Drosophila melanogaster: one gene and its partner. The protein of the gene in region 1 interacts with the protein of each later gene in a pairwise test. Each region holds a gene or a part of one and is shown in the gene's direction. Other genes may lie near its edges.

What was found. Proteins that work in one complex are often made in the same cells at the same time.
Region 2: the proteins of CG15764 (region 1) and CG43861 interact in a two-hybrid assay, tested with the Drosophila melanogaster proteins (one large-scale study listed by BioGRID).

Annotation. Positions count from the first base shown.
Region 1 is NC_004354.4:5,866,217-5,871,802, forward strand, and holds CG15764 (uncharacterized protein), read left to right. Parts: upstream 1-2,878; 5' UTR 2,879-2,965; coding exon 2,966-3,847; 3' UTR 3,848-4,050; downstream 4,051-5,586. Other genes in the region: GAA1 (glycosylphosphatidylinositol anchor attachment 1), read right to left, coding at 4,887-5,054, 5,124-5,586.
Region 2 is NT_033779.5:20,014,283-20,019,077, reverse strand, and holds the start of CG43861 (uncharacterized protein), read left to right. Parts: upstream 1-1,795; 5' UTR 1,796-2,258; intron 2,259-4,795.

The DNA of each region.
Region 1 (5,586 bases):
GAAGTACAGTCATAATCCTTTTGAAGCAACCCAGTCGATCAACTTTTTGGTTTGCTAGTTCTGTAGATAACACGACATAGTATAAAAGTAGCCTATGCAAACGAAACGCAAATTCTGCAGGACTATGAACATTTAACTGAATGATGGCATACTTACGCAGTATGCACTGTAAATCCCATTTGAAGTATCTGGCCCTTTTCGCTCAATTTGGCAAATTCCCTCATGCACTCCATTCATTTCTAGTTTGCCTACTCGAGTCTCATTTCGTTTGTCATTCATCCAACGGCCGCCGACTTGCTCAGCTTTCTCCACTTTCCCCAATTTTCTCGCTCTCTTTGTGGGACAAGGCTTTGTTTTCCCCCTTTTCGAAGGACCCATCGTAGGCTCTGATTGTTTGTAAATAAAATCGCAAGTTTTATTGTCGCTGGGCAAACTTTGATTAAGAGCAGCATCAAAGTATTGTAAAAGTCTAAGTAGAAGCGGGGCGAAATTAAATTTTCAAGACAGCCTGGAATACTGGAATAAAAAATCCCCAATCCCCCAACTACTGGTAGTTGAAAACTTTGGAGCGCCACGGAAATCTGCACACACAAAACATATCAGTGGGTTGGAAAGTAGAAAAACAAATACCGAATTCGACAAACTTTACAAATTGAGAGAAATTGGCAGTTTTGACGGCATTTTTATTCGCATGCAATATTATTTCGTTATTTGTTCACTTCTTTCGGTTTGCACTCGCAAAAATCTAGAGATCATTTGTTTCAATCAAAATAGTTGCTCTACGAATTTTGTTTTACAATGCCAATGAAAGCAAATAATCCCATTTTGTACCAAAAATCATTTTCCAATTTTACGCCTAGAAAATAACACAATTATTCTCGTAACAATTGACAGAATCATTCAAATATGGATTGTTATACCTCGTTAAGTTTGTATTTAAATTCCCAATCGAACTGTGTCCAAAAATGGGAATTCTATTTTTTAGCCATTTTTTGTAAATTTTGATGATGTTACCCCTTCCGAAAATGCGAAAAATGACTCAAAAATTATTTTTTCTAAATTGGTCCAAAAGTGATACAGATGGTTAGCCTTCGTTATTAGCTGCTCAAAACAGTTATTTCTTTGGTTTTATGATCATTTTTAGTCAAGTTATGATGAAAACGCTCATCTAAAGTTGTTTAATTTTTGCCAAAATCATTTTTTTCGATTTTCCGTCATAAAATAGTCAGTTTTTTGGCCACAACTTTAAAAATAATTGTCTGAATACGGAATGTCATATCACGTTGAGTTCGTATTTAAATTCCCAATCGAACTGTGTCCAAAAATGGGAATTCCATTTTTTAGCCATTTTTTGTAAATTTTGATGATGTTACCCCTTACCGAAAATGCGAAAATTGGTCCAAAAATTAATTTTCCTAAATCGGTCAAAAAGTGATAGGGATGGTTAGCCTTCGTTATTAGCTGCTCAAAACAGTTATTCTTTTTGCTTTCTGATCACTTTTAGTCAAGTTATGATAACAATGCTCATCTAAAGTTGTTTAATTTTTGCAAAATAATTTTTTTCCATTTTCCGTCTAAGATCTCAGTGTATGTCTATAGTCTTTTGGATGCTTTTTTCTCGTACCTGTCTTTCTATGCGTTTGTTTTCCATTTCACCTGCCCAGTTTTTCGTACTCATCGTTGGCATTCCAAAAAAATGGAGTGCCACGTGACTCCTCGTTGTGGTGGTTTAGGGGGGGGGGGGGGAGGACTATATAGGTCGGGCGGATTGACGCCGCTTGTGCATTGTTTCGAGGGGGCGGACAAAGCACACAAATAACTGTCAAAGTTTCAATTCTTTTCGAAAGTAAAGCCCGGGTAAAAAAAAAAAAAAAAACAAGAAACCGAATCCGAATCCAAAAGCAAACAAAGGCAGAACAATGGTCGAGCAAATTGAAAGCTCTCGATTGGTATTCCTCTATTCCGGACTTGTTTTCCCACTTTTCACTTTTCATTAAAACAGAAGCAGCACGGAAGCGTTGAAAAAAAATCCGCAAAAAACAGCGAAACTAAAATTGAAGTCGCTCTACAAATGGATAAACTCAGTTTGGCAATGGATTTTATTTACAGATCTCATTCAAGGTTCAATTTATGAAACGATTAATAGTTAAAGCAATAAATTTTTTAAAGGGCCGTTCAAGTAGGTTCCATTATCCTTACATCCGCGATGAATGCATGGCTGTTCTGTCCAACCGACACGATAATGCACATACTCATACATATGTACATATATGTTGCACATCAATCCCCCTTTCGCCGACATGCAAAGTGCAACACCTCTCGTTCTTCGAACAATTTTAATTATTTCCACACGCAGCAGCGACGCACTCAGTAAGTCCATGGGCGGCAGAGGGAACCGGCAAAAGAGTGGTCGTTGGAGTGGGATGGTGGGGGGTGGGGGGGCGAACCCGACCGCAGGGAGTGTGTTGTTGGCTTTAACGGGGAATTAAGTCGGGCAACAGGAAGTCAGCGAGCACAATAATTAAGATGAGCGCTCGAGGGGCAATTATGTGACATCAACTTGCCAATTTTAAAACACCCCCGCCCCCCCGCAATCACGAACTCTCCGCATCCCTTTATCCTTCAGTCGAAGGATAATGCGAACGTTTTGGCCAACAGTGGGCTGTGTATAAAGATTTCTAACCATATATAAATATTCTTCGAACTGCATACTTTGCGACACATTCATACACTCAGAGAAAAAAACCTTTGTAAACTTGTAATCTTGGAGTTGGAGTTTTCCGAAACCAGTAGGCCCGTCTCCAACTGGCAACACTTCATTTCACCTAATTTGACAGGGACACACACAACACGTTTGCTCTACGGTTCGGTCGGTAGTACCAAATCTTATATACACTACATCTTCACAGTATAGCCATATATATATATTAATATTATCAAAATTTTCCACTAAACCTGCTTTGGAATGAGCACAGAACATCTGAATGACGCGGCGGAGTCCGTGAGTGCCCGGAGTTTGGCTTTGGATCGCGCTATCGTCAATTTGGTGCACCAGGCCCGTCGCCTCCATTTGAACAGCGTGAATGGCTATACATCTCTGGAGGCATCTCTGGAGAAGGCAGTGCCAGAGTTGCTCACGACTAGGAGTGATACCGCACACCCCACCACCACAGCGACCAGCTCGGCAAGGTCTTTCCCGAAGCGTAGGCCCAGTAGCCTAGCACCACGACCTGCGCCCAAGGCTTTCAAAATGCGCAAGACCGATACGCATCTGAGGACCCCACGTGTCGTCCAGTGTAAGACGGCCCGTATCCCGGTGACGCCACCACCACCGCCACCCTCGCCGCGTTGCCCAAAACCTGGGGAACTTAGTTCGGCCATGGACATGGCCGATCTGCTTCGGATCGAGATCGCCGAGACGGATGCACTGTTGGATCAAATGCTATTCGATGCCAAGGCACTCGAACGCCAGGTGGCGATCCAGTGTCAGTTGCAGAGCGATGCGGAAATGATCCGCAGCCTGGAGATGGAGTACAGTGGGCGATCCATGAGATATCTGATAGAGGCCATTCAGTCGGACTGCGAGAGCCAGGATGTCCAGGATCTCTGGAGCCGATGTCAACGCTCTTTGGAACGCCACGCGGAGCGACAGACGGAGCTGGAGTCCAAAGAGGGTCTGTATCTGGATCGGAATCCAGGCAAGGGCACCGGCAAGGGCACCCAAACCGATATGGCTGACTCTCAGGACGAGATGCTACCTATCTCGTCCAATTCGATTTGCCAATGGTTGCGAAGGGCGATGGGTTCTTTAAGCCAAGAGGATCAGGTGCAGGAGATGGCCATCTAGCGCAGGCCAGCCTTGAATAGTATTTGAATAAAGATACACAACTCTAAAATCACTTGTGTGCTCTGCTGTTTTAACGATGGCCCATAGAAATATTGAAAAGCTGCGATTAGACTAGAACTGCGAGGATTAATTAACTACTACTTGAAAAAGTATATATATTTGTTAACTGATTTATACAGTGATACAGCTCAGTGATTTGACCGAACTCATCTTACAATCTATCTATCCATTTAATAAAAAGATATTCGAAAATTTCTCATTTCTACATTTCGAGTGAAAGTACCACTGTGCCGCCGCAACTTTGTGTCTGCCTTTGAATGGTTGTGTGAGGAAAGTTTTCTTGTTAAGTTGCAGATTGAATGGCGCCGGTAAACACGGTGCGGCAAGTGCAGGGCTCCCAGCTTCGAGGACACCATGCATCCATGCCTCTGATTGAGCCAAATCCTGGCTCATAACTAATTGCCAGCAGCGACGACGATGGCGCTGGCAGCGGTGCAAAGTTTAAATTAAGTTGCGTGTCATAGTCGAAAAGTTTTCCACTTATTCAAAGAGGCACGTGCTCCACTGAGCACTACTCCACGGAGAAACTCCTGTCCTCCACTGGCCAATAACGCCAGCGAAGACGGAGGATTGACAAAAGAAATAATAACCAACGGATGGGAAATATATGCATTACTGCTTTACGTGCAAACAAAGTTGCAAATATAATGGAAAATCCATAAATCACAAGAAGCTACTGATAAAGTTAACCACTTAAGTAATTTAAAATGATAAGTTAACTGGGAATCAACATCGAAAATGCCGTGGTATATTTAATATTTTTTGGATTACATTTACACTTAGTTATTCCAACTAATAAATAGGCTTCTTTTATTTAGACATTTAATCAAATGCATAACATTTAAATGGAATTTTCTCTGCATGTGCAATCTCTTACCGCCATCACACACAGTTTTGTTGGGTTTATCACACTTCATCTTAGGATCATTTCCAGTTGATATATGTAGCCAGTGAATGGCAATCCGTGCTGTTCGTCTCCTCAATTCGTTTTCACCTTTGACTGCGGCTGCGGCGACGTTGATGGCGACTCATCGAAGTCCAGGTAATCTGCGTAGTCGCGTCGCTTGGACAGCGACAAGGTCCAGCAGATGATCCACAGCGGCAGGAAAATCGTGCAGATGACAAAGTACAGCCAGTTGCCATAAATCTGCAATAGGAAAGTATTTTAGTTTATTATCTATGTATGTTAGTAGTGGCAACTGAAATCTTAACTTACCACGGAATCGATAAGTCCATAAGCCGAGGCATCCATGGCCGCGGTGGCCGCCCTCAGCATGATCTTCTGCACCGGCAGCTCCGGGAACTGGTAGAATGTCATGGCCAGCACGATCACATAAACGACCATCATGGGATTCATGACCAGCGTGGCCAAGCGGATCGTGTTCCTCAGCGTGCTGCGCGAGTTCTCCTCCTTGGTCTCCAGCGCGATGACCAGCGGTACAGTCAGCACGGCCGCAAATAAGCCCAGGGCAAAGTTGAGGAGCCCGATGACTATTAAAGCGCAGCCATAGATTAGCAGAAAGGCCACATGCAGCAGCTCCAATCCTCCGGGCGGCAAAACCACCACAAAGGGCAGAACGAAACCGATCAGAGAAAGAAAACTCAGTACTGAGGTGGTCAGTGGTGCGGCGCCCATAGGAATCTCTAGGAAATATTGCTGCAGGGGCAGCACGTTGCAC
Region 2 (4,795 bases), on another chromosome or scaffold:
CCTGTTGAACCCACACCGATGGCCATATTATTTACCTACATCTCAATCTCAACCATAATCACAATATTTACACCTTTCTCCGTCGCTCTTTCGATGCTGGCTTCCGCTCCTCGATGGAGGAAACAGTGTTACACAAATGCAAATCAATTGTAAATACAAATAGAAAACCTGGCCGAAAGCAGTGGAGCAAAAGGTAACATTTACTATAAATAACAAAACACCGTTAGCCTGAGGAAATCTTCGCCAAAGTTGGAGTAGTAGATACACCTGAAAACTGCATACAATCGATGTAAAAATTTTATATATAAAATTTCTCGATGCTATACAAATGAAATATAATTTGGTAAGTGTCCTCAAGTTTTGAGTAAACTGTGGCTGAAAATGCACTTCTACTTGTTTACCTAAAATGTTGCCAAATAGTTAGTTGCACAGTTTTTCTTTCGGTATTGCGACTGCAACTAGAAGCCTTGCGTTTTCTTGCCCTGGTGTGAATTTATTGCTTAATCATGCGACTTTAAAACGGCACGGCTGGCAGGTAAAGGCAGCTGGGTTTTGGATTCGGTTTTAACAAGGTGAGTGCTTGTCCAACTGGACGCGCTCCGTTTTATTTTCTGGCCATATTCTACGGCATCTTGCCGGTAGAAGAACGAAGTTCATTTGTGACTGCAGCTCAGTGTCGTTTGTTTTATTCGCCGAGTGGATGATGAATATATAATATAGATAGATAGATATATAGATAGATATATAGATGGTTAGATAGATAGGTAGATAGATAGATAGATAGATGGTAAGATAGATAGATAGATAGATAGATAGGTAGATAGATAGGTAGATAGATAGATAGATAGATGGATAGATAGATAGGTAAATAGATAGATATATATAGATAGATAGATATATAAATAGATAGATAGATAGACAGATAGATAGATATACAGATAGATATAAAGATAGATAGATAGATAGATCAACCGATAGATATATGTTAGATAGATAGATAGTTTGATTGCAACCTGCCAGCATGTTCGATTCTGGGCTGGCATGTTGAAGTTCGATTCGAACAAGCTGGTGTTTGAGTCCAACAATCTTGGGCTTAAATTCTTCTTAAAGTATAAAATAACAATTCCCTTAAAATTGAGATTTAGAGTTTTACTTTTGAGTTCTGGCTAAACTTATTTTTATTAGATAAACAACAATCCTACTTCTCGAACCCTTGCTTCTGCCTCTGCGGTCATTTTCGTGACCAGATTCGGAATTGTGAATAGTTAGGTTGTGAGCTCTTCTAGAACAGCTGATATGCAAATATGATAGAGGTTAGAATTGACCATGTTTTGATTATTTATAAATCAAATCAAGTATTAATAATATCATGTGATGATGAATTTTGTCGATTTAAAAAATGTGAAAGTTTTTGTTAGGTATGTAAATAGCAAACTAATAACAGAGGGAAATTTAGTTCCGTGTAAATCTTTCGACAGAGAGTCTTAGAACAGGATGTCTTGGAAACTAAAAGACGTGAGAATTAAGAACAATGCTAAATAATTTTAAATGAAATATATCCATTAAATATTTCTTATTAATGAGATATTTAAATAAGGATTTCTTTACACAGTTCAGTATTTTACATCGAATTTGAATATCACTCATACGCCTGTGTTAAAAATTATATTTTCACCTGGTTAGGAAGGAGAAAAACTGAACGGAGGCAAGGCAACATGTTCGAATCGAACTCGCGATGCTTTCGCGCGGGTAACTAACTGCGAACATAAAGCTCACCACTCAGTCTAAAAACGAGTTTCAACGCGTTCGGCTGCCGACCCGCTCGATTTTTGAATTCATTTTTTGGCCAGGCCCACTGAAAAAAAAAAGAGAAAAAACCAATCGAAAACAAAGCCTCATTGCGCCCCATTAGGCAAATGCTAAATTAGTCCGTTGTGTAAAGGTGTAAAGCATTATTTTGTCGAAATTCGCCTGCCGCAACAAACCCCATTTGCTTGTGTTGGTTTAAGCCCAATTGTTTGGCCAAAGTACCGCGGAGTTTTGTAAAAATATTTCTGGAAAATCTTCCCCAAAGTGCAGTGATTGTGTTTGTGTGCTCGTATCGTTTGTAGAACGGTAACAGGTAAAACAACATCAACAATCCGAGTCCGAACGAGCGGCCGATGTCGGTGAATATAACCATTAAAATGAAGTTAAAGTCGCTCCCGAGCTGCATACAAATGCTGCTGTAAATAAGTCTAAACAAACACTTGCATTTGGTGAGTTTCAATTGCCTCAATGGGCTTTTTTTTTGGGTCTGAGGTCGGGGGTGTTGGCCACATGTGGAATAAATCATAATTAGTGGGGCTTAAGTCTCGAATTGGGTTATGGGTACAACGGAAACTTAAGTGTGGGAATCAGTGCTAGTTGTCTTTATTTGTGAAACTATTTCGAACTGCGTTAATTGTGGCCCAGTGGTTGCCGTGTATACTTATCGCATTAGCGCGCTCAAGGAGCTGGAAATAATAGATACGCTAATAGATACATATGTGGTTTTAAAATTGGAGTAGATATAAGAAATCAAAATAAATATTCAAGCTACTTTTTCGCTTTACCTTGCTTAACAGGTACTTTAAATTGTGTTTTGATTTTAATCAGATACATTTCTGACCATCTGCAAGTTTATACTAATCCAAAACTATATCTATATAACTATATAACTCCACACCAACTTTTCCCTTCACTTTGTGAACACATTTTTCGGGATTACATTCTAAACAGAATTTCCGTTAGTATGAACCAAAATGTAGCTACTTAGTTTTCCGTTTTATTTGTTTCATTTTCTACTGCTCTCTGACAATTTTTGTCGCGAAAAAGTTTTTGGGATAGAAAGTTTATATTGTGAGCTAATTTGAGTTTGCATGGATAAAAGGGTAGAATTACGTTATATTTGTAAGTGTACATTTGGCCATGTGAAGCCATTTACCAATTCCAGGTAGTACACATTGTAGTCTTGTTTAAGCCGTTAACTCTGGGCGGACTTGAGTTCCTTGACTCTCGGTACTGTTCTGAATTATATGGAAGCAACCCGCAAATTTTCAGTGCTTGTGGAAATTATTTTCCGACAGTTGCTAATAAACCTGCCTACTTCATGGGCACAGCTCGCAACGGTCATTACTCATGCCAAATCTTCTGTCACTTCACACCTTCTCCGTCTAATTCTACGGTCAACTTGTCAACACGATGTGAAGTGGGGTCTGTGTGCGTGAGAGCTCTTAAGCCTTATGCAACAGCTCAAATTAGCCATGCAATTTGTACTTAACTATTTGCAGCGTCTTGTTGCAAGTTGGGGTCTTGGGGAATCGAAATGGAGGCTGGCGACTGGGGGCTGGTGACTGGAGAATGGAGAATGGAGAATGGGGTAATGGCTTCCACAGGGCACTCGCTGCAGAGGCGGGAATAATAAAATGTCCAAGGACTTGGAGCGGACAAGCGACAAGTTTATCACTTGTTAAGCCAAACGCTGCAGACATGCAGCCGGCTTCATCCTGCACCATTCCTACCCAGACGCCCAGTCCTACTCCTATTCCTACTGCATCCGAGCACCCCGCTCCGGGAATCCAACTCTAGACAACGTCGGCGTCGAGTGGCAGGCCCAGATGGGCGCGGCAGATAAGGAACTGGGCCCAGACCCAAAAGAGCAGGCCAAGAATAGGGCGTTCTGGGTCCGATCCTATTTGCATGCCACTCGCTTGAAGTGGGCCACACTCGGTCCGGATGAAAGCGGATATCAGAATACACAGAGACAAGATGTGAAGCGTTTGTAATCCAAATCCATTTACTCATCCGATCTTAAGTCCTCCAGGGAGGAGGTAGGTGTACTTTAAATCCTAATCTGAGTTTGGCCTCATACAGTCAAAATGTATATAAGATAAAACAAGAAAAACATGCATTTTAGTGCAATATATGTTGGATAGTTTGCGAATACTGGCGTTCGTCACCAAAGTTTCCTGATTTATTTTCTGTGCACGATTGGATGAGACAAAGGAAACATATAAAAAACATTTATTATTAATTGGTGCGTGCTAGTATTTATAAACCTGCTTTACAATTTCATGTAAATTATTTCTTTTATTCGTAAAAAGCTAGCCATATTGCATTAAAATACATCCGAATTTTTTTGTTGCTCTACAAACAACTACAAAATAGTTAATAATATCTTTAGACTGCAATCACTGTTTGGAATAAAGTTTTGCCATCTATAAGCCATCAGGCAAATCGTTTGCTATTATATTCATAATCCCAATCTAAAGCCAATTGGATGCCATTTTTGAGTATCCTTAGGCAGCTGGGACTTAAAGTTGAGTCTAACGATATGGTCCCGACCTTTTCGGGAGTTCCTCGAAATGGGATATCATCCACAGCCCGTCGCCCAAAACGGAGGCTTTCGCAGACGCAGCTGCTCCTCTTTCATTTGGGCCATTTAAATAATGGCTGCAAATGGCTGGGTGACAATAAAGAAGACCGGCAGCCACCACAAGTGAAGTTACCCAACAAAGCAGACTTCGGCTATAAATAGTTGAGAAAAAGTCAGGAAACGAATGTCAACTGAAAAATTACGTATACGCAGACATCGATGCTCATCGATAGTGAGACATGGGCTCGCTTTCGTTTCCGCTGTTGAGTCGAGCGTGTTGACTTTTCATTTTCCAATTTTTATTTAAATTTTTGTCTGTCGAACGGCGTCACTCTTGTTTATGACCATTTAATTGACACGCTACCTGGCAGTCGAAGCTCTTCTGGGAATATTTCCATT